2 linked regions of the Arabidopsis thaliana genome follow. The protein of the gene in region 1 interacts with the protein of each later gene in a pairwise test. Each region holds a gene or a part of one and is shown on either strand. Other genes may lie near its edges.

The links.
Region 2: the proteins of AT3G12390 (region 1) and MLP329 interact in a two-hybrid assay, tested with the Arabidopsis thaliana proteins (one large-scale study listed by BioGRID).

Annotation. Positions count from the first base shown.
Region 1 is NC_003074.8:3,940,468-3,944,309, forward strand, and holds AT3G12390 (Nascent polypeptide-associated complex (NAC), alpha subunit family protein), read left to right. Parts: upstream 1-1,789; 5' UTR 1,790-1,876; coding exon 1,877-1,933; intron 1,934-2,190; coding exon 2,191-2,275; intron 2,276-2,556; coding exon 2,557-2,687; intron 2,688-2,789; coding exon 2,790-3,128; 3' UTR 3,129-3,342; downstream 3,343-3,842. Other genes in the region: ARP5 (actin-related protein 5), read right to left, coding at 1-72, 201-303, 406-450, 632-774, 1,011-1,081, 1,218-1,318; ELC (Ubiquitin-conjugating enzyme/RWD-like protein), read right to left, coding at 3,611-3,753. UniProt on the Arabidopsis thaliana protein: May promote appropriate targeting of ribosome-nascent polypeptide complexes.
Region 2 is NC_003071.7:229,845-246,554, forward strand, and holds MLP329 (MLP-like protein 329), read left to right. Parts: upstream 1-9,824; 5' UTR 9,825-9,970; coding exon 9,971-10,157; intron 10,158-10,236; coding exon 10,237-10,505; 3' UTR 10,506-10,843; downstream 10,844-16,710. Other genes in the region: AT2G01510 (Tetratricopeptide repeat (TPR)-like superfamily protein), read right to left, coding at 908-2,662; MLP328 (MLP-like protein 328), read left to right, coding at 6,148-6,334, 6,769-7,037; AT2G01540 (Calcium-dependent lipid-binding (CaLB domain) family protein), read right to left, coding at 12,453-12,785, 12,889-12,984, 13,276-13,389.

The sequences.
Region 1 (3,842 bases):
CAATTCCATCTTTTTTACAAATTCCATGTAGTTGATTGTATTTGTAGCTGAAAGCAGCATCGACTCCAAATGCTGTGACGACATGAGAGTTAATGAATTAATGAAAACAATAAACAAAAGGTTCCATAATTACAGTATCAAACATTCAGTTCAAGAAGACGATCAAATTCAGAAACCAAAAAAATAACGCAGATTCATACCAACTGCAGGCACTCCATAAGTCTCAAATAGCAGTTCTGCCATTTTGCTACGAGATTGAACTGGGTTGCATGCACATTCAGTGATTAGGATTGGATGATCAATCTGTACTGCCATCAAATGACGTTAAATGACGAGACAAAATTCTGACAGGTAGTAAGATGAAACTCAAAATCAAGATGAAAACAAAAAAGTTCTAGGACGTACCCCTGATCCATTAGCACCCAAACGATCAAAGGCGTAGTCAAGAATCTAAAAAGCAGAAAAATCAATTAGACAAGTGGGTTCTTCAGTGATTGCATTATTTAATTAGCATAAACATCAAAGAACTTGGAATACAAAGAAATGATGAGAGCAAGAAATTCCTGGAACAGAAGACCTTACAAATATACAATACAATTCGTTATTGAATAAACGGGTATAGAATCCATACATATTCCATGATCTCAAACTGATAAACCACATTGCTGTCAAAAGGGGAACGTGGTCCAGAGCGAGTGCAATCAAAGTACTTCATCATGGAAGGATCCAGGTCGCCAACAATAGTAACAGTTTCACCTGTACTAGAGAGAAGAACTAACCATTACAACAACATTACAAACACACCTAGAAGATAATTTAGAAGCAGAGCAACTTTTAAGCAAAATAGGATAAAGCATAGTTATATATATCTAGAAATCGTAGCCAAAACTTCAAGCAACTCTGCTCTAGTACTTTGAAACATATCATTGGCTAAATTTGTTACTCTAGCAGCGAAACAAGCAATTAAGACACATACATAGAAGCGGGAAAATAGAGAAAAAAATAAAGACCTGTAGCTTTGTGGCGTGGTCTTTGCACGATATTGCGGAAAACAACACGAGGCTCAGTTTCTCCTGCCCACCTAAAAAAACGCAAGAGAATTTCAAAATTTAACACGATTTTTACGAATTGGGGAAGAGAATTACTAAATACCAAAAACCTCAAGTAAAAGTGAGTTAGCGATAAGAAGGAAATTAGGGTTTATGGAATAAAAGTACCCGATACGGAAGTAGGAAGCGCCATTATCGATAACAATGGGAATCGAAGATGGATATGTATTGTAATCACTCTGCCTACGTATCCTCGAAACGAACGCCATGGCTTTCTCTTCCTACTGCGGTGTTGATTTAGTCGCCGTCGTCAGTCATCGACTGATTTTGTAATAAGTAAATTCGGCCACCTAGTTCTCCGGTGAAAGAAAGAAGAAGACACAAATGGAGCTCCGTGACGTGGAAAAACATTATTAGGCCCAAAACCCTCTGACTTAAAAAAGACTTGATAATTGAATAAATAGTTTAATGTCGTTGACATAAACGTAAGCCGTCTTAGCTCAGTGGTAGAGCGCGTGGCTTTTAACCACGTGGCCGTGGGTTCGATCCCCACAGACGGCGTTTTCGTATTCCGACATAGGTTGTCTTTTTTGCTGCTTTTCTTTAACTGAAATATTCCGACCAATTTTTTCCAGCTGATAAGCCCAACGGACAATGTGTAATATTGCGATTTTATATAAAAGTTTTGGGCCTTTTGATTTTCCTTGCAATAATTAACACTCGGTCTTCTCCAACCTAACAATTATTCTAGGGTTTTAGAGTTTCCGCACGAATCACGAATCTCTCTCTCTTTCACACACTTCACACTTTCAATATACACTCTCATTATGACTACCGAAGAGAAAGAGATCCTCGCCGCCAAATTGGAAGAACAGAAGATCGATGTAATTGATTACTCTTTTATTCTTTACCTATCTATCATCTCTGTTTATTTGTTGTTATTTGTCTTTTAGTCTGGAAATCATTAGACTGAATTCAGAGTTTTTTAATCTGTTCCTGCCCAGATCTTTGCTTTTGTTTTGTTTTGTATATGCAAATATTGGACCTTATTATAAGACTTTAGATCTGAATTTACATGTAATTAACCTTTGTGGATTCTCTCATTTTCCCAATTAGTTCAATTATTGATGATTTGTTGTAGCTCGATAAGCCCGAAGTTGAGGACGATGATGATAACGAAGACGATGACTCTGATGACGATGATAAGGATGATGACGAGGCTGATGGTAAAAGCTTTCTACATTTCATTCATCAAATTACTGGAATAATTAGTATAGTTCCTAGTATTTCTGTTAGCTTACATCTGGGGCAGATTTGTTGATGCTCACGTGTATGTGTAGATATGTAGCAATGATAATTATATGGCCATAGCTTGAAAATTTAGTGAAAATGAATCCATCTTCTTTGTTTTCAAATAATCTTTGCGTTGACTTGTGTTGATAGACATGTTTGTGGAACTTAATGTTATCATCTATTTTATTCTTGTTGATTGGTGATTGGAAAACAGGACTAGATGGAGAGGCAGGAGGTAAGTCAAAACAAAGCAGAAGTGAGAAGAAGAGTCGCAAAGCCATGCTCAAGCTTGGCATGAAACCCATCACTGGTGTTAGCCGAGTCACCGTCAAAAAGAGCAAGAATGTTTGTGTTTTCTCTTTAATATTCAGTCAATCTTAATTTCTTTTATTCACACATCAGGCTTTAATATTGATCTGTTTTGGGGACATTTGCTTTGGAACACAGATCTTGTTTGTCATATCAAAGCCTGATGTGTTCAAGAGTCCAGCATCAGACACATATGTGATCTTTGGAGAGGCGAAGATCGAGGATTTGAGCTCTCAGATCCAGTCGCAAGCAGCAGAGCAATTCAAGGCACCAGATCTCAGCAATGTGATCTCAAAGGGTGAGTCATCGAGCGCTGCAGTGGTTCAGGATGATGAGGAGGTTGACGAGGAAGGTGTTGAGCCAAAGGACATTGAGTTGGTGATGACTCAAGCAGGAGTGTCTAGGCCAAATGCTGTGAAGGCTCTCAAGGCTGCAGATGGAGATATTGTCTCTGCCATCATGGAGCTTACCACCTAAACCAAAGTCTTTTCTACTTAGATGTGGTTTAACCTGAGTTATGTGCCAGAGATTGTCCAAAGAATTCGGAAATTTTTGGTTTCAATGTTTTTCATGAAGTGATTTTCGATGTTGTATCAGTATAAACCTCATAAGTTTTTGATTTTCAGTTTGATTTTATATTGAATATCAAGTCCAAGTGTTTACCATTATAGACTTGTAGTTATAATTTGTCAAGTATCAGTCTGTTTAATGAACCGAACCCAAAGGATATGGACACCCCTTCACTCCAACCAATACGAGGTATCAACTGAGGTTAATCGATACATGCAGTACAATGTACAAAGTGCTACAAGTGGAGGTTCATAGACTAGAAAAGTATTCAACAGGACCTGATTCTAAGAGAAATTGTTATAAAGCCGATGTTTATTACCTAACTCCTCAAGGAAGGAGGCTAGGGAGTTGCAAGGAAGGAGCTGGTTTTATCCAAGACTACGAAAGATTCAAAGGCACACTGATGAAGCAAAACAAGGCGTAAGGATGTTGCAGTTGCTGATAAGAAGACTTGACAAGGTTTCATCATTGATGGTGGAGCTAATGGGTTCAATTCGACAAGGTTTTAGTTTCCTTTTGCATGGTGAATAAACTAAAGCAACATTTTTTTAATGGAGAAGAAAGAAGAGTCATCAAAACTGTTCCAATATCCAAAACAAAGATACTAACATTCTCAAACCA
Region 2 (16,710 bases), on another chromosome or scaffold:
GTTGCTTGGAGATGGTGCAGTGGACAGTTCAGTATTAATAGCCGTTGTCCCCGGTAAGAAAAAAAAAAACGATTTTATGTTTTCTGAGAGGAGAGAAAGAGAAAGTGTATTGAGACAGTAAAAATCAAATTTGATGATACTAATGTAAAAAGTGTTTTTTACTAGTTAAAGCAAGTAGCTTTTAATGGGAGGATTGATTACCTTAGTTTTGCTAAATTGACCAAAAAAAGATACCGTTGTTGCAGAGTCTTTTTGCTTGGAATGTCTTGACGACAAGTGAGATAACCTCTCTTCTTTGTTTTGTCTCCATCTCTCTCTCTCTCTGTCTTTCACGAGAACTTTTTTCTATTTCTTGCTTCTTCCATGTCTCTGCTTTTCAACTCTCAGAGAAAACCATTAACAGAGGCAAACTCTGTTTTTGATCAGTGTCAATAGAGCAGCATCTAATTACTGACATCAACATTGAATTCTTATTCACAAATTTTGACCCTTCTTTATCTCCTGCAAAAAGGGTTCAATTTCAGTTGTTTTTACATCATAAGAGATACAATACAAAGGCCTGTTAAATCAGTGGAATATACTAAGAAAGATACAAAAGCCATTAGTTGGCAAAAACGTGTGGTCAGGTTTAATTAGATCTAGATATAATTAATGAGCAATTAAAGATCAAACAAGCATTAATGAGTATAGTGTGATTGACTTAGCTACCTTATTCAGGCTTCTGACTTGTGCAGAAGATTAAACAAAAGCTTCACGATTTGTTGCCATATGCAAGTTTAGTGGATCAGGAACTTGGTTTTGGATCAACTGGTCTTTTGATACTATTCAAAGCTTCAGATACATTTAAAATCTGTGGATGCATTTCTCATCAGACCTCTTTTAATAATAAGAGCACCAGTAAGTGAAGTCACCAGAACTCTTTGCAAGAGCAGACACCATTCCTGAAGTGGTGAAACCTGTTCTTGTCTCGCATGATGATTTCTGTCGAAGTAAGACTGGAAACAAACTTGGAGAAAGCGTGGCAATCATCACAGGTTCTCAAGTTCTTCATAACCCGTATAGGATGTCCCGGTCTCCCTTTAATGAGTCCAAATGCAATAGCGAGCTTCTCACTGTGATGACTCAGAGAACATTCTTTTTCCTCCATTTCCACATCATGAAATACTGAACACGTATCTGGAACATACCCCATTTTCCTTATCTTCTTCAAGATTTCATCCAATTTCTCATATATCGCCTTTGATTGCGGATGTGATTTGTCTCCTCTATTGAAAAAATGGATTTTGCCCTCGAATTCAACAGAACTATAGGCTGCAACCTTTTTAGTGCCCAGCTTCCTCATTTTACTCCTTACTTTGTCAACACAATCCCATTTACCAGCAGCTGCGTAGATATTAGACAGTAGTACGTGGTATGAACCAATATCAGGAGCTGTTTCAACAAGAACGTCTGCCACTTTCTGCCCTAATATCATATCACGATGAACTGCACAAGCACCCAACAAAGCTCCCCAGATACCGGTATCTGGTTCCACTGGCATCTTTTTGATAAATTCATAAGCCTCCTCTAGAAGACCAGAGCGTCCCAATAGATCAACCATACATGCATAATGCTCTTTTCTAGGCTCCAGATTCTTATCATTCGACTGAACCATGAGACTGAAATACCTTTTTCCTTCATTCACTAGTCCAGCGTGGCTACAAGCAGATAATACCCCGAGAAATGTCACGTAGTTAGGTCTAAGTCCCTCATTCTGCATCGTAGTGAACAATGTCAAAGCTTCTCTGCTATCTCCATTCATTGCATATCCTACAATCATTGTGCTCCATGAAACCACATTCCTCTGTTTCATTTCCTCGAATAATACCCTGGCAGCTTCAGTGTTACCACACTTTAAGTGCATATCAAGCCTTGCATTTTCGACTATTATGTTACAATCAATCTCTTCTTTCCTCGCACGATCATAAATTTCTTCTCCAATCTCCAAAGAGCCTAGCTGACCACAAGCAGAAAGCATACTCACGACAGTAAACGAATCAAACTGAACTGCATCCGCGCACATTTTGTTGAAATACTCAAGAGCTATAGCGGAGTTCCCCGTTTGAACACAAACCGCAAGAAACGCATTCCAAGCCACTAAATCTTTGACTTGCATTGACTCAAACAAAAACTCAGCCGAACTCAATTCACCAAACTTCATGTACATCATTACCAACTCAGTTGCAACAATCCCAAGACACCCAAAACCATATTTCACCACATGGGCATGAAGAGCAAACCCACAGGAAAAATCCCCAAGCTGAGAGATCGCTTTCACCACAAACGGGTAAGTAAATTCATCAGGACGGACACCAAGATCACGCATTTTCTTATAAAGTAGGAGACTTTCAAAAGGGAGCTGGTTTCTAACGTACCCTTTGAAAAGAGTGTTCCAAAGGAAGATCCTCGGCTTGTGCATTTCGTCGAACACCTGGCGTGCGTAACACATGTCACCAATAACTACAAGATTCTCTAACAGCTGAGTTAAAAGACTGTTCTTTTCAGAGAAACCTGTCCTTAGTACAATCGCATGGATCTTCTTAAGCTGCTTCGGCTTTGAAGAACTTGCTCGTAAGAGCTCGGAGAGCATTTGTTTTGTTAATGGCGTTTGTTTCGCAAGCATCTCTTCCGTCCTTCCTCCTTACTTTCAAGTGTCTTAAAATGTAATATACTCGTCTGATTTTTACAAAGCCCAATTTCTACAATAAAAGGCCTAATTAAGTAAGCCCAAATTAGATATATTACAACAACTATGGGCCTAAAGACCCAATGACCCAAAATCGTGAATTAGCTCGACGCCGACTGGATGTTCGGAAAAGGTTTAATACCTATCTAATTAATTGGATTTTTGATTTCTGTATTAATGTCTTTTTTTTATAAGTATTATTAGTGTTGCAATAAAATTAGTATGTTAAAATATATATTTTAATCCAGCCCTATATTCATCTATTTACTGTAATTTTTGTATTCATCTATATTTTAATATGTATGAATATATTTATAAATTCCATTAATTTCTTAAGAAAATAGTAGGTCCAATATCATGCCTTAAAGAATCTTAAAAATAGTAGAACCACAAAATAATGGTACAAAAAAATGATTTCTTTTGTTTTGTTTTGTGGTTCTACGACCATTTTTGCAAAATGTAAATAATTTTCAGTTGTGTGTATATTATATATCTAATTGCAGCTTCATTGTAAAATGTAAATAATCTTCGATTAATTTTATACTTTTATTTTTTTGGGACGGTTTTTGTGAACCAAAAATATTGTTTAGGTCTTGAACACTTTCATAGACTACATATAATCCATCAAGACTGGAGACCGGAGAACGTGATGATTATGTATGATAGGAAGACTGTAAATGAAAAAATAGATGACATGGACATTGCTAAGATTGAACATGGACATTGCTAAGATTGAACATGCACCATTCTTGAGTCACCTTGCCAGAGGTTGTTATGTTTCTTATACCTTATATTGATTTGATAAACTAAATGATATGCCGTAATTGTCAACACGTGATTGAGTTTTCAAACAATCTTTAAGAATGCATGTGTAAAAATTGTAGGTGAGCGGAGTCTGGGTCTCCAACCACTAGAGCAATTTGACGGCAAAAAGGAAACCACTGCACCTGATTCTCGGTAATATAATCTCCAATCTCTTTTCAATTTTTATTCCGCTGATTATTCGCTAAAATGTATATACTCCTTATTTGTTGTCTGATCGTTAATGAAGTGCTTCTTCACCCCTTTTTTGACCTTACAACAGTTATTGGAGATGCAAAGTAGAATGTAAAGCTAGATCGTAATTTCTTAGAACATAGCGACAAAAAACAGTGTAAAGAACTTGAACGCTCCAAATAATAGCTACATATATTTGATAAAAGATTACAAGTATGACAATGTGATTGATTTGTTAAGAATTATTCCCAACATTGTGCATCACTTTGGTTGACTCCCGAAAAACATAAAAGTATGTTATTTCAACTCTAATTATTTGTCCATATCTAGAACTAGATCGGAACTTTCTACACAAAAAAAAAAGAACTAGACGTGAAATAATGAAACAATTCAATGAGACCTTATTAGTGTTGTAATAAAATTTAGTATTATTACTTATTAGTGTTGTAATAAAATTAGTATGTTAAAATTTATATTTTAATATAGCCCTATATTCATTTATTCACTATGGTTATTTATCTATATTTTGATATATGTGAATATTTGTGGGTCCAATGTCCTCTTAAAGGCATGTTCTTTGATTGCTGGTTTGATTATAAAATCATTTTTCTTGTACCATTTTTATTTTGTTTTGTGATTTTTCTTCCACTTTTGCAAAATGTAAATAATCTTCAGCTATGTATATATTATTAGCTAATTTGGTCATATAAACGTAGCTTAGTCTATAGTAAATTAATCATCTACATATGACTTATACATGCATAAAGTGAGTATAAATGTATGTTTACATGCGTAAATCAGAAGAACCTAAACATATTTCATTTAGTACTACATGTTATTGATTTTTCTACCTAGACATGGACGTTGAACCCCATCAACATATTAAATTCATTGTCTGATATTTTCTCAGAACATATATACTTTTATTGTTTTTCTGCCGATGTGGACAACAAAAGCATGGAATACGTTCGACCAATAAATCTTCGTCTCTTATTTGATTAATGTGAGTGTATCACCAAAACTTGAATTATTTGCCATTTATTTTTATATCCGACCGTGGACTATAATTTCTTTTTATTATTTGGTTATATATTGTCTCCGTTTTTGGTTTAAACGTCGATTCAATTTTGATTGACATTTGAATCGAAGCCAAATCACGAAAACACACATTCGAGAAAGCTTAGAACTGAAATGAAAGAGTGCAAAAAAGTTACACCAATATAAAGTTGTTGAAATTTCGGAATCTTGTAAGATTAAAAGATTGTTAGTAGAAAAAACTCAACCTCCCAATCAAAAATTACAAAAATAGTAAAATATTCATCCACAAATTTCATTTTTTTAAAAAGAGAACATTCACACACACTTCTAGATTGATCAAAGATAAAACACTTATATAAGTTCGACTAAACCTAAAGATATTATCCTCATTAATTAGTCACAACTTCCCCAACCAATTTCTTAAGTCAAGTAATTCCTTTGCTCCGGTGGAGGCATTCTCAATGTTTAAGGAATTAGTGGCGGGACCAAGAAAAATCTTATCAAAGTCAAACAATAAAATGGAGACAAAATTAAGTGCAAACCTTAAACTTGAACGGGTCATACACAACCAAATCTGCCAAAAAAAAAAGTATTTTATTCAATGAAAAAAACATATATTCTATAAAATTTGAAGGCATCATTTTCAGTTTTTTCACCCTCTTCTCATAACGTAGGTCCCGACCATATTTGAGATTTTATCCATCATAATGAAAAATGAACTAAACGGCTCCCTTTCAACACCACATTACCGACACCCAATCAGCTTTAAAACTCAATTCTATGGTTCATTTATTTTGAATCTAACCATATTATTAAGATGTGGTTGGCTTACACAATCAATAGTTATGTACTATACCAAATAACTTATTGACCAATCCTATAAAGAATCGTTTCAAAACACTTTTAGAAAGATGCTTTACTTTCTAAAACGATCGTTTTCAGTCAGGTTTTCTATCGGTTCACCTATTTTCTCTTTTGTAGAAAGGCGATCGTGATTGTTACCGGCCTCACTAAATTATGGTTTATATATTATAATTATCTATGGATTGATTATGATTTCCTAGGCATGTACGTACGTAATATTTTTTTTGTGCGACGTTTCAGTGAAAGTGTAGTTGATAGTGAATGTTTCGAGTTCAAGTTATAAATCATATCAATAGTAATCCAAATCTTTTTTTTTGTGATACGAACTTGGTAAACGTGAATCACATTTTGTAATAATGCAAGATGACAGAATCGTGGTAAGAAAAAGTAACTAATGTAACTTATTTTTACGTTTTAACCGTTATATTCTCTATATAAACGAAGGAGAAATGAAAGTATTCATCAAGTAAAGAAACAAACAAACAAACAAAAAACACACTTCACTCGCTACACAAGGAAGAGAGATGGCGACGTCAGGAACATATGTGACGGAGGTTCCATTGAAAGGATCGGCTGAGAAACACTACAAGCGGTGGAGGAGTGAGAACCACCTCTTCCCCGACGCCATCGGCCACCACATCCAAGGTGTCACCATCCACGACGGTGAATGGGACTCCCATGGAGCCATCAAGATTTGGAACTACACATGCGGTAAAAATATACACTTATTTTAGTTATATAACTCACGTCTGAAAACTAGAGCTTGGAATAATACTCGAGGTTAATCACATAAAAATGAATATATAGTTGTACGACTTTGTCACAAGAATACAGAGAATCCATTTTTCAAAAGGTTTCACTGCATATATGTAAACTCATATCTCTCTAAATTTGATTCACTTTATTAATTTATGAACCCGACAAATTTATTCAGAAAGCTTCTCCAAAAGTAGATCTGCGGATTTTTTCGAAAGGAATTACAAGTAACAACTACACGTGATGGAATAATCTCTTTACCTTAAAATTTAGTTGAGTGTTACATATATTATATATATAGTTCCAACATATATATGCACTTTAGTACAGAAAAAAAAAACATATATATGCATGTTGCTAACTTATAAATGGAACACATATATGAAAAGATGGGAAACCGGAGGTGTTCAAGGAGAGGAGAGAGATAGACGATGAGAATATGGCGGTAACGTTCAGAGGACTCGAAGGTCACGTGATGGAGCAGCTTAAAGTGTATGACGTCATCTTTCAGTTCATTCAAAAGTCACCTGATGATATCATCTGTAAGATCACTATGATCTGGGAGAAGCAAAACGATGACATGCCTGAGCCCAGCAACTACATGAAGTTCGTCAAGAGCCTCGCTGCTGACATGGATGATCACGTTCTCAAAGCCTAAATATCCCTTTCACATCAACCCATCATCACCTAATATCATGATCATCATCACCCTCATACGTACATTGCTCCTTTTGTGTGTGTGTGTGTGTATCGTTTTTATGGTGTTTTCAATATAATAAATGGGGGTTTACATGTATGGTTTCATCTACTATAATATGCTTTGATGTTGTTTATTATGGTTGAGGTTTCATGTATGCTCATCTACGCATGTATCCTTGTTAATTAATGATTTTCAAGAGTTATCAATCAATACTGCCCTTTTTTAAAGTGTTGCACTACGTATGTATCAGCTTCCACAAGCTCACATTGTATACAGCATTTGTGGTTGTATTATTCATCATTTTGTACGTTCAATTATGGTTATTATTCATACACAGTATTCATTATATTTATAGTGGTTGTATAGTATATTTAGTTGCTGTTGCTGTCTTTGTATGTTCATTTAGTGTATAGTAATTAATGCTGACTTTATAAGTTCATATAGTGGTTGTAACATTTATCATTTCTATGAGTATATATTATTACTCATGTCCTCCGAAATTGGACAACATTTAAACGATACAAGCAAGGAAGACAATAAAAATACAAAAATATTTCCTTCGAAACTCTAGTAAAGAAAGCATATAATGAAACCAGCATTTAGCAAAGATGAGGGGTCTATGTGGGATGGGGGTCTTGTTGGTTCAATGATGTAAAAAATCATTACGATTTGTTTTAAGGCTATTGTTTTTAATGGGTTGATATATGAATGACGAGGACAATGGTCATGTATATGGATTTTGTCAAACCTACTAATTAGAATTGTGTTGTATGATAAGAACTTGGAAAACGTGAATTATGTATGGTATACAGCACAATCGCAAGTATCAGTAAATATCTATTAATCTAACATATAAATTTTGAGTTTATATGATTCTATATATCTTTGTAAATAAATAATGTTTATGCTGTGCTTGACAAAAAAAATGATTATGTGTACGTACGTATGCTAAGAGATGATCAAAATTATAACTAGAGACATTATTAGAGCAAAGTACCAGATAAGACTTTTAAAGATATTTGGAATATTATATGAAATATGAAAGTATCAGTTTAATAAATACTAAATGTAGAAAAATTACAATCGTGACAGTTAGCTTAACTCAAACTTTATACTAAAAACTATCTATACTATTAATTGGGAATCATCGGAAAATTTACAACCTTTTGAAACCCGCACGTATGTGCGGGTCAGGATCTAGTGATTCTTTAAATTTGGAAACTCGAATATCTCAAACGATATTAATTATTCAGGATATTGATATTACATGGATGGATCATGGAAATAAAGCGACAAATTGTTTGGAGCAGAATGGTACTATACATCATCAAATGGAGAGACGTCAACCATGAGAACTGCAAATCTTTAAGAAGTCTATCCTCACTACATGCAGAAGTGGAAGCGCTTCTCTGATGATGAGGTGTATGATTGGCGCTAACAATCAAGACGTAGCTTTTCTAATAGACTATTCAGATCAGGTGAAGATGGTGTCTTTCCTAACCGAATGACCAGCCTTCTCAGTGTATTTGGAGGATTTGAAAAACGACAATGAAGAATTTAAAAGTTTTCTTTTATCTTTAAATTTTAGTACAAATGTTAAAGCGGATAATTTGGCACGAAAAGTTCTATACCAAATCACATCATATCACATATGCAAACAACATTCTTCGGGAATGGATCTTTAATTTGAGTTCTAACTAATATCGGTTGACAAAAGAAAAAAGTTTAGAAATAATATTATCTCATTTAAACTAGATACATAAATGAAACAACAACACACCCATACACACAAAAAGCGACTCTATTTTGTTAAATAGATGAAGAGCCTCCTCTAGAAGATGAAGTGATATCTCTAGAACCAGCACTTTCAACCTAGCCACATAGTGATGGATTGATTAAGGACAACACCTCAGAAAAAGACTTGTCTATGCCATGTATACTTTCGCTAAGAAGTAAGAAGGGAGTGATTTGGCGCCAGGTAATTGCAATGTTTGAAGCGGTCTTTTTGGGGGTCTAGCTACTTCATCCTTCCAACTGTAGCTATCTTGAGTCTCAGGGAAGATCATAACCATTGTGAGCTTGTAGAAAAAGGCTTCTACATTGTCACTGTGGGCACTCGTGAACTGCCAGCCAATTTTAGAGGTCTATATAGAATCTTTTTTATCAAGAAAATGTGTATAACATATAAGAGCACCCTCAATAGTGTATCTTAGCAAAATCTTAGGATTAAAAGCAATTAAAATAAAGCAAACCAACAATCCAAAGCTAAGAAGTGTATTTTTCTTTAGATGTTTTTCTTAAGTTAAGATGTTTTTCTTAAGTTAAGATGTTTATATGTGTTATTTGATGATTGGTTTAAAAAATGAACAAAAATAGAAGATATTGTTTTAGAAAAAATGAACAAAATAGAAGATATTGTTTTAAAAATATCAATGAAAGTCACAGCTGGCAGGAAATCTACGGTATCGTTATCTGGTGGACTTTTCGGCATTCAAGGAACAATACATCATATCAACAAACAATAATTATGGTTTGTTTAAGGTTTAAATTAAAATTGATGTATGCATTTGTCTACTCTAATCCTTATCATTGATTCATTATATGCTTCTTTTTTTGTTGGTAAAACCATTATATGCATTTTGTCAAACCTATCCTTATCTTAATAACAAACAAAATACATTGTATGATAAGAACTTGGACAACGTGAAATATGACTCATTCTAAATATATTAGCAGTAGATATCAAATAAGTATAAAACCCGGCTCATCTATTTTACGTCTAAACCGTTACACACTCTATATATAAACGAAGGAAGATCACACGTGAAAATAGTCATCAACCAAAGTAAGAAGCGCACACACACAACATATTTCTTTCACTACCCAAAGAGATGGCGACATCGGGAACATATGTGACGGAGGTTCCATTGAAAGGATCGGCGGATAAACACTACAAGCGGTGGAGAGATGAGAACCACCTCTTCCCCGATGCCATCGGCCACCACATCCAAGGTGTCACTGTCCACGACGGTGAATGGGACTCTCATGAAGCCATCAAGATTTGGAACTATACATGCGGTAAAAATACATTTATATGGAATCCAAAGAATGGTGCTAACTTAATGAATGAAACAAATATGTACGCATATATGTGCAGATGGGAAACCGGAAGTGTTCAAGGAAAGGAAAGAGATAGACGATGAGAATATGGTGATAACGTTCAGAGGACTAGAAGGTCACGTCATGGAGCAGCTTAAAGTGTATGATCTCATATATCAGTTCAGCCAAAAGTCTCCCGATGATATCGTATGCAAGATCACAATGATTTGGGAGAAGCGAACCGATGATTCGCCTGAGCCTAGCAACTACATGAAGTTCCTCAAAAGCGTTGTTGCTGACATGGACGAGCATGTTCTCAAAGCCTAAATCCCTTTCGAACCATCGTCATCACCTATCATCATCATCATCATCATCATCATACATCTCCCTTTGTGTGTGTACTTGTATGGGTGTTTGAATCTTTCATTTGCGTAGTACAAAATCATTTTTAAATAAATTATGGTTTGAGTATACAGATGTTACAATGGGCCTGGGCTAAGCAGATATCTCAAATTATCCAAATGTTTTTCTTGATCATGCCATTGAAATGGTCATCAAGAAAACACACTTAATTGCTTATACATATATCGAAATAACTACAAAATTACAAATCATTCACAATAGAAAGGATAAAATAGTTCACTAAGTGACAAAAAATTTAAACGTCAGTCATACCCAAAATTTAGTCGTAACCGTATTTCAGAGAGTACCCGAACCGTTTTCAAAAAAGAGTAAATAATATTGCATATGAAAAAATTATAACATATTTTTATCTTATTAAAAGCAATAAAAAAAGCTCGATGATACGTAAAGTTTTGCGTCTATCTTATTATATAAAGTATGGTTTTCAAAGTTGCTAATTCATAGAATTTTGCCACGTGTCAAGTCAAACAATCAGATGTTTATATGTGTCATTCCAAATTTTACTTTTTTATTCTCTAAAAAAATAAAAAATCTTAAAAAGTAAACAAATTTACATATACTAATTTATATGTCTATATATTTATAAACAATTTACATTTATTCAACAAAAGGAAAATTAACAAATTTGTCTTTAACTCATGTAATCATAAGTGAAAAATAAAACGATCAGATGTTTACATGTGTCATTCCAAATTTTACTTTTTTATTCTCTAAAAAAATAGAAAATCTTAAAAAGTAAACAAATTTACATATACTAATTTATATGTCTATATATTTATAAACAATTTACATTTATTCAACAAAAAGAAAATTAACAAATTTGTCTTTAACTCATGTAATCATAAGTGAAAAATAAAACATTTTGAGAAAAATAGCTTAGCTTATAGGATTTAACTTTTCATTTATTTTTATTTATTAATTTTAACTCATTTAATATTAATTTGCATGATGTAAAATTAACTTACAAGATTACGACATATATACAAAATATATTTTCAACAATGTTTGGTTTCTAAATATTTTTGTGGATTTCTTTTTTTATTATTAATTATTAGCCCTAAGCGTTTGGGTATTCGGATCGGGTATTTCGGGTTTGGATTTTTGGGTTTAGAAGTTTAGGACCCGTTAAGGTAATTTAAGATTTTAGGTCGGGTTCGGGTTCGAGTTTATTTATATATTGAAATATCAAATTTTGTGTGCAAATCTATTAAATTACTTGAAAATTTCAAAAATTCCCAAAACAACACGAGTAGTTTTGCTTGAATATATCTAAAAATACACAAAATAACTAAAATATCAAAAACATCCTAATATTTTCTATATATAAGTATAAATATAACTAATATATACTTATATTTGAGATATGTTTGAATACCTATTCGGGTTCGGGTTCAAGTTTTTCGGGTTTTGAAGTTTAGACCCGTTCGAGTATTTGAAAATTTTGGGTACACCCGCCTAAATAGGCGGGCCTTATCTAGTTCTTAAATATATTGTAGTTATTAAATAACCATAAAGCATATTTAACCGTAATCGTTGTAACCATAACTGTATTCAACTGTAATCTTAACCGATGGTTAATAAACACCGTGGTCATGCCTACGCCTACGTCATAGAAGAGAATGCAAATTGCAAAAGACAAAACAAAATCAAAACAGAAAGTGAGAAATCAAAAAGATATTCAAATGAAAACATACAAAAGAAAGTCTCAAATTTTCCAGCTTTTCTTCTTGATTATGCCATTGAAAATGGTCATCAAGAAAACATACTTGAGTTGCTTATACATATGGAAACAACAACAACAGATTGATACACAACAACAAAAAAAGAAAGAAAGAAAGAACAATAATAAGTTTAGGTAGAGGAAGAGCCTCCACCTTTGGAAGAGGAAGTGATACCTCTGCAACCAGCACCTTCATGCCATTCAAGCATGATCTCAATCTCGCCACATTCGACATTGTTAAGTCTAAGGATCAAGTCTTGTGTGATCTTACCATTGTTCCAAACAATGCTACTCTCATCAGATAAACAATTGTGCCTTGATGGTTGAACCCTTTTGATAGCACACCCATTAGGTAGCCTCAAAAGCTCCATCCCCATTTTCAAAGCCTCTAAGTATGGTTGAATGTCTATGTTCGCATCTCCCATTTTGTCATCTCCTGTGAACTTGTCCCAATCAAACACTGTCTGAACGATTTCAACAAAAAAACAACAATGTTATCCCCAAGAACAGAACAAAACAAGATTTGTCTTTTGTCTGAATCAAAAGAGAGAATCTTTTTAAGTTTACCAAGCGGATTGGGACATTAGGATCTTTGATAGCAACAGTCATTTCTTCATTCCATACTGGGTTACAATTTTTTTTCACCACACGTGTCTTCAATGTCTGAAAGATTTCATTTTTGGTTTTGTATTAGACAAAACAAAACAGAGGATTTGAAGAAAACCCAAAGCAGAGGAAATAAAACAGAGGATTTGAAGAAAACCCAAAGCAGAGGAAATAAAAACAGAGGATTTGATAAAAAAAACCAAAGCAGAGGAGATAAAACAGAGGATTTGAAGAAAACCCAAATCCTGAATCTATATGAACAATTCAGGAACAGAGAAGAATCGTTATTCGGAGACTTGATTCATATAAGGCAATTTGTTCTCTATCGATTTCAAGGAGAAATGGAACCTGATCGGCGACGTTGAGAACGATGTAAGGATCGCTGCTACGATGGTCGCGAATGGCGAGATTAATCCCTCTCTTGACGTGGATCGTGAGCAATCCAAGAGGCTTTTGATCCATTTGAGAAGAAAGACTTTTTGACTAGGTCCGGTGCTGGAGATGGTAAAGGAGGAAGAAGAAAATTTTAAGAAGAATTTGGAGATGATGCTGAAGATGAATTGGTGCTTGTAATCTCGTCCCCAACTATTCAACACGTTCTCGTTCCCAATTGCTCTTAATTTTTCTTTTATAAAAAAGTTTAGCGAATTATAGTATCATTTTTTCAAATGATTGGGTAACTTGTTGTTCTTAAAATTTATTTATTCACACTAATCAAAAATGATTAGGAGTTTAGGACACGAGACTAATCTAATAATCGACTCGAGAGATAAAACAATAGTCATGGACTGAACAAAAGAAATATCTCGTCACAATGGGCTCGACGACTCCCTTTATAGATAGGAGACTAATCTAATATGGGTCTACTTTTGAACGTCAGTGAAGTATTACTACCAACTTGTAATAAAATCACAATAATGGGCTTGAGTACTTGATTAACAGGCCCATTTAAAAGATTTTACGTTTAAGAATCTTTCAAATTTAACAAACAAAGAGATTATTGCATGGAGAGACGGTTTTGGTGCTTGTAATTTTTTTTCTTTTTTTTAATAAAATGTTAAATTATACTCAAAAGAAAAAATGTCGGTTGTACAACGAGTGCATCATGGTGTTTAAGAGACTAAGCGTAGAGCTAAACTTTACAAGTTAACTACTAGATTTTAACCAAAACTGAAAGCCTTGGTCATATCTTCTATCACCCATAAGTTTGATTGCTGAAAGTTGATCACGTATTTGCTTATCTATCCATCGAACAAGTTGAGCTGCTTGATTCGGGTTGCGCCCATGCTTCCTCCTATTGCGCTCACGCCATATTGCATAGACTGAAACTTGAAAGATATACCGTGCGATAAAACTTTCTACTCGATCTTTCCAGTTTTCTTGAATCTTTGTGAGTAGGTGTCGCCAATCCGTAGAGTAGCTTGACTTGTAGATGCTTTTTGCTGACATTTCCCAAACTTCTGAGCTAAAGCTGCAAGAGAAAAATAAATGATCTCTTGATTCAGTTGCATTTCTGCAGAGAAGACATGTCCCCTGCAAACCTCTGTTCCAAAGAAGCATTTTATCTCCTGTGGAGAGCCTATCATAAACTGCAAGCCAAACACAAAAAGAAAACTTCGGTGTTGAGTGAGTGAACCAGACCCCCTTGTGCCAAGGGACCTCGATGCCCATTGTTCTGGTATTGTTCCACGTTTCCTTCGTCGAGAAACAATGGCGGTAGTCATCATTTTTGCCTTTCCAAAGAGTAACGTCATCATTTCCATTTCTACGTTGTCGTGTGAGTTCAAGAGCCTCCTCCATCTGATTGAGAACATTATCCCTGTGTCGTCTTTGACGTCTACCATTCCATGCCTCCTCAAGAGTCATCTTTCTACTGATCCCCATATCTATTGTCCCTCTATCTCCAGCAATTTCAACCAGCCTGCCCAAGGTAGACCAGTCATCATACCAGAAAAAAGTGTTGCGGCCAGTGTTTACTTCTTTTTTGCAAAACTGCTTCGCCATATCCTTGAACTTGATAAGTTTTCACCACATCCATGAACCTTTGCTTGTCGATTCTTTGATAGACCAAAAACTTTCCGTGTTTAAAAGATAAGTCTCAACCCATTTTACCCACAAAGAATCTCCTCGAGAGAGTATCCTCCATATCAGCTTTAAACAACTCACATCATTCGCCTCCTTTATAGACCTTAAACCGAGTCCACCTTCTTTCTTCGGCTTACAAACATCGTCCCAAGCTACCTTAGCTTTGTGAGAATTTAAATCCGGACCAGACCAGAGGAAAGTAGAACATAACTTATCGATTTCTCTGATACATTTTCGCGGGAGCCGGAACGCAGCAAGCCAAAAGTTACAAATGCTCCATAGGACCGAGCTTATCAAGTTTAAGCGACCGGCGTAAGAAAGAAATCTAGCTGTCCATGACCCAATCTTCTTTTTAAGCTGTTCTATGAGAGGTAAGTAATCTGCAGCGGTTAGGCATTTGGTTACTAGAGGGAGTCCCAAATACCTCACCGGTAGAGTCCCTACATCAAAACTGAACCGGTCTTTGATCCATTGGTGAGACACTTCTGAAGTTCCCGCTAGATATATGGTTGTCTTCTCCATACTAATTTTTAAACCTGAACTTTTAGCAAAAACGTCAAAAACTTTCACAATACCCTCTATAGATCAAACTTTTCCGTCCGAAAGGATCATGAGATCATCAGCAAAGCTCAAGTGGGACAGACCAATACTTTTACACCGCGGGTGGTAGCCAATTTGCTTTGCTTCTGTTGCTTGATCAAGCATTTTTGATAGAACATCCATGCTTATAACAAATAGATAAGGGGAAAGAGAGCAACCCTGACGTAGACCTCTTGAACTTTGAAAATAGCCTGCCAATTCTCCATTGACTTGCACCGAAAAAGAAGCCGTAGTAACACAAAGCATAACCCAATGAACAAACTCCGGTGGAAAGTCCAAAGCCGACAAAACGTTTTTAAGAAATGACCACTGAACAGAATCAAAAGCCTTTGAAATGTCGATTTTAATAGCACATCGACCCGAAATTGTGTCCTTGTGATAGTCCTTTACTAACTCTGTGGCTAATAGCAGATTCTCAATTAGGAGCCGGTCTTTTACAAATGCAGATTGGTTTCCCGCGATGAAATTCGGGAGAACATGTTTCAATCTATTTGCAATGATTTTTGAGATGACTTTGTAAATGACGTTGCAGCACGATATCGGTCGATAGTCTTTCATTTCTTTCGCCTCCAGTTTCTTTGGGATGAGAGCTAGAATGGTAGTATTAACACCCTTTGGTAGAAAACCCTTTTCAAAAAACGATTTGACTGCCAAAACAAATTCCGCACCAATTATATCCCATGCCCGCTTGTAGAATTCAGAAGTGTAACCGTCTGGACCCGGAGATTTATCATTTGGCATTGAGAATAAGGCTCCCCTTATCTCTTTTGCTGAAACTGATGCAGTGAGCATATCCTTTTCCGCTGGGGAACAATGATAAGGCAATAGAGATGTTAATTTCTCCACTGTTATTCCCTCATAATCATTCGGGATTAGCTGAAGAAATTCTTGAAAAAACCTTTCAGTCTCGTTCTTGATATCATCTTTAGTTGTGGCAGTACTACCATCTTCCTTCTGAATTTCGCGAATAGAGTTTTGAGCTGCTCTAGCGGTTGCTGCGCGATGGAAAGTTTTGTTGTTTTTATCCCCAACCTTTAACCAATGAAGCTTTGATACCTGCTTAAGATACTTCTCTTCAATGCTAGCTATCCTGTCCCA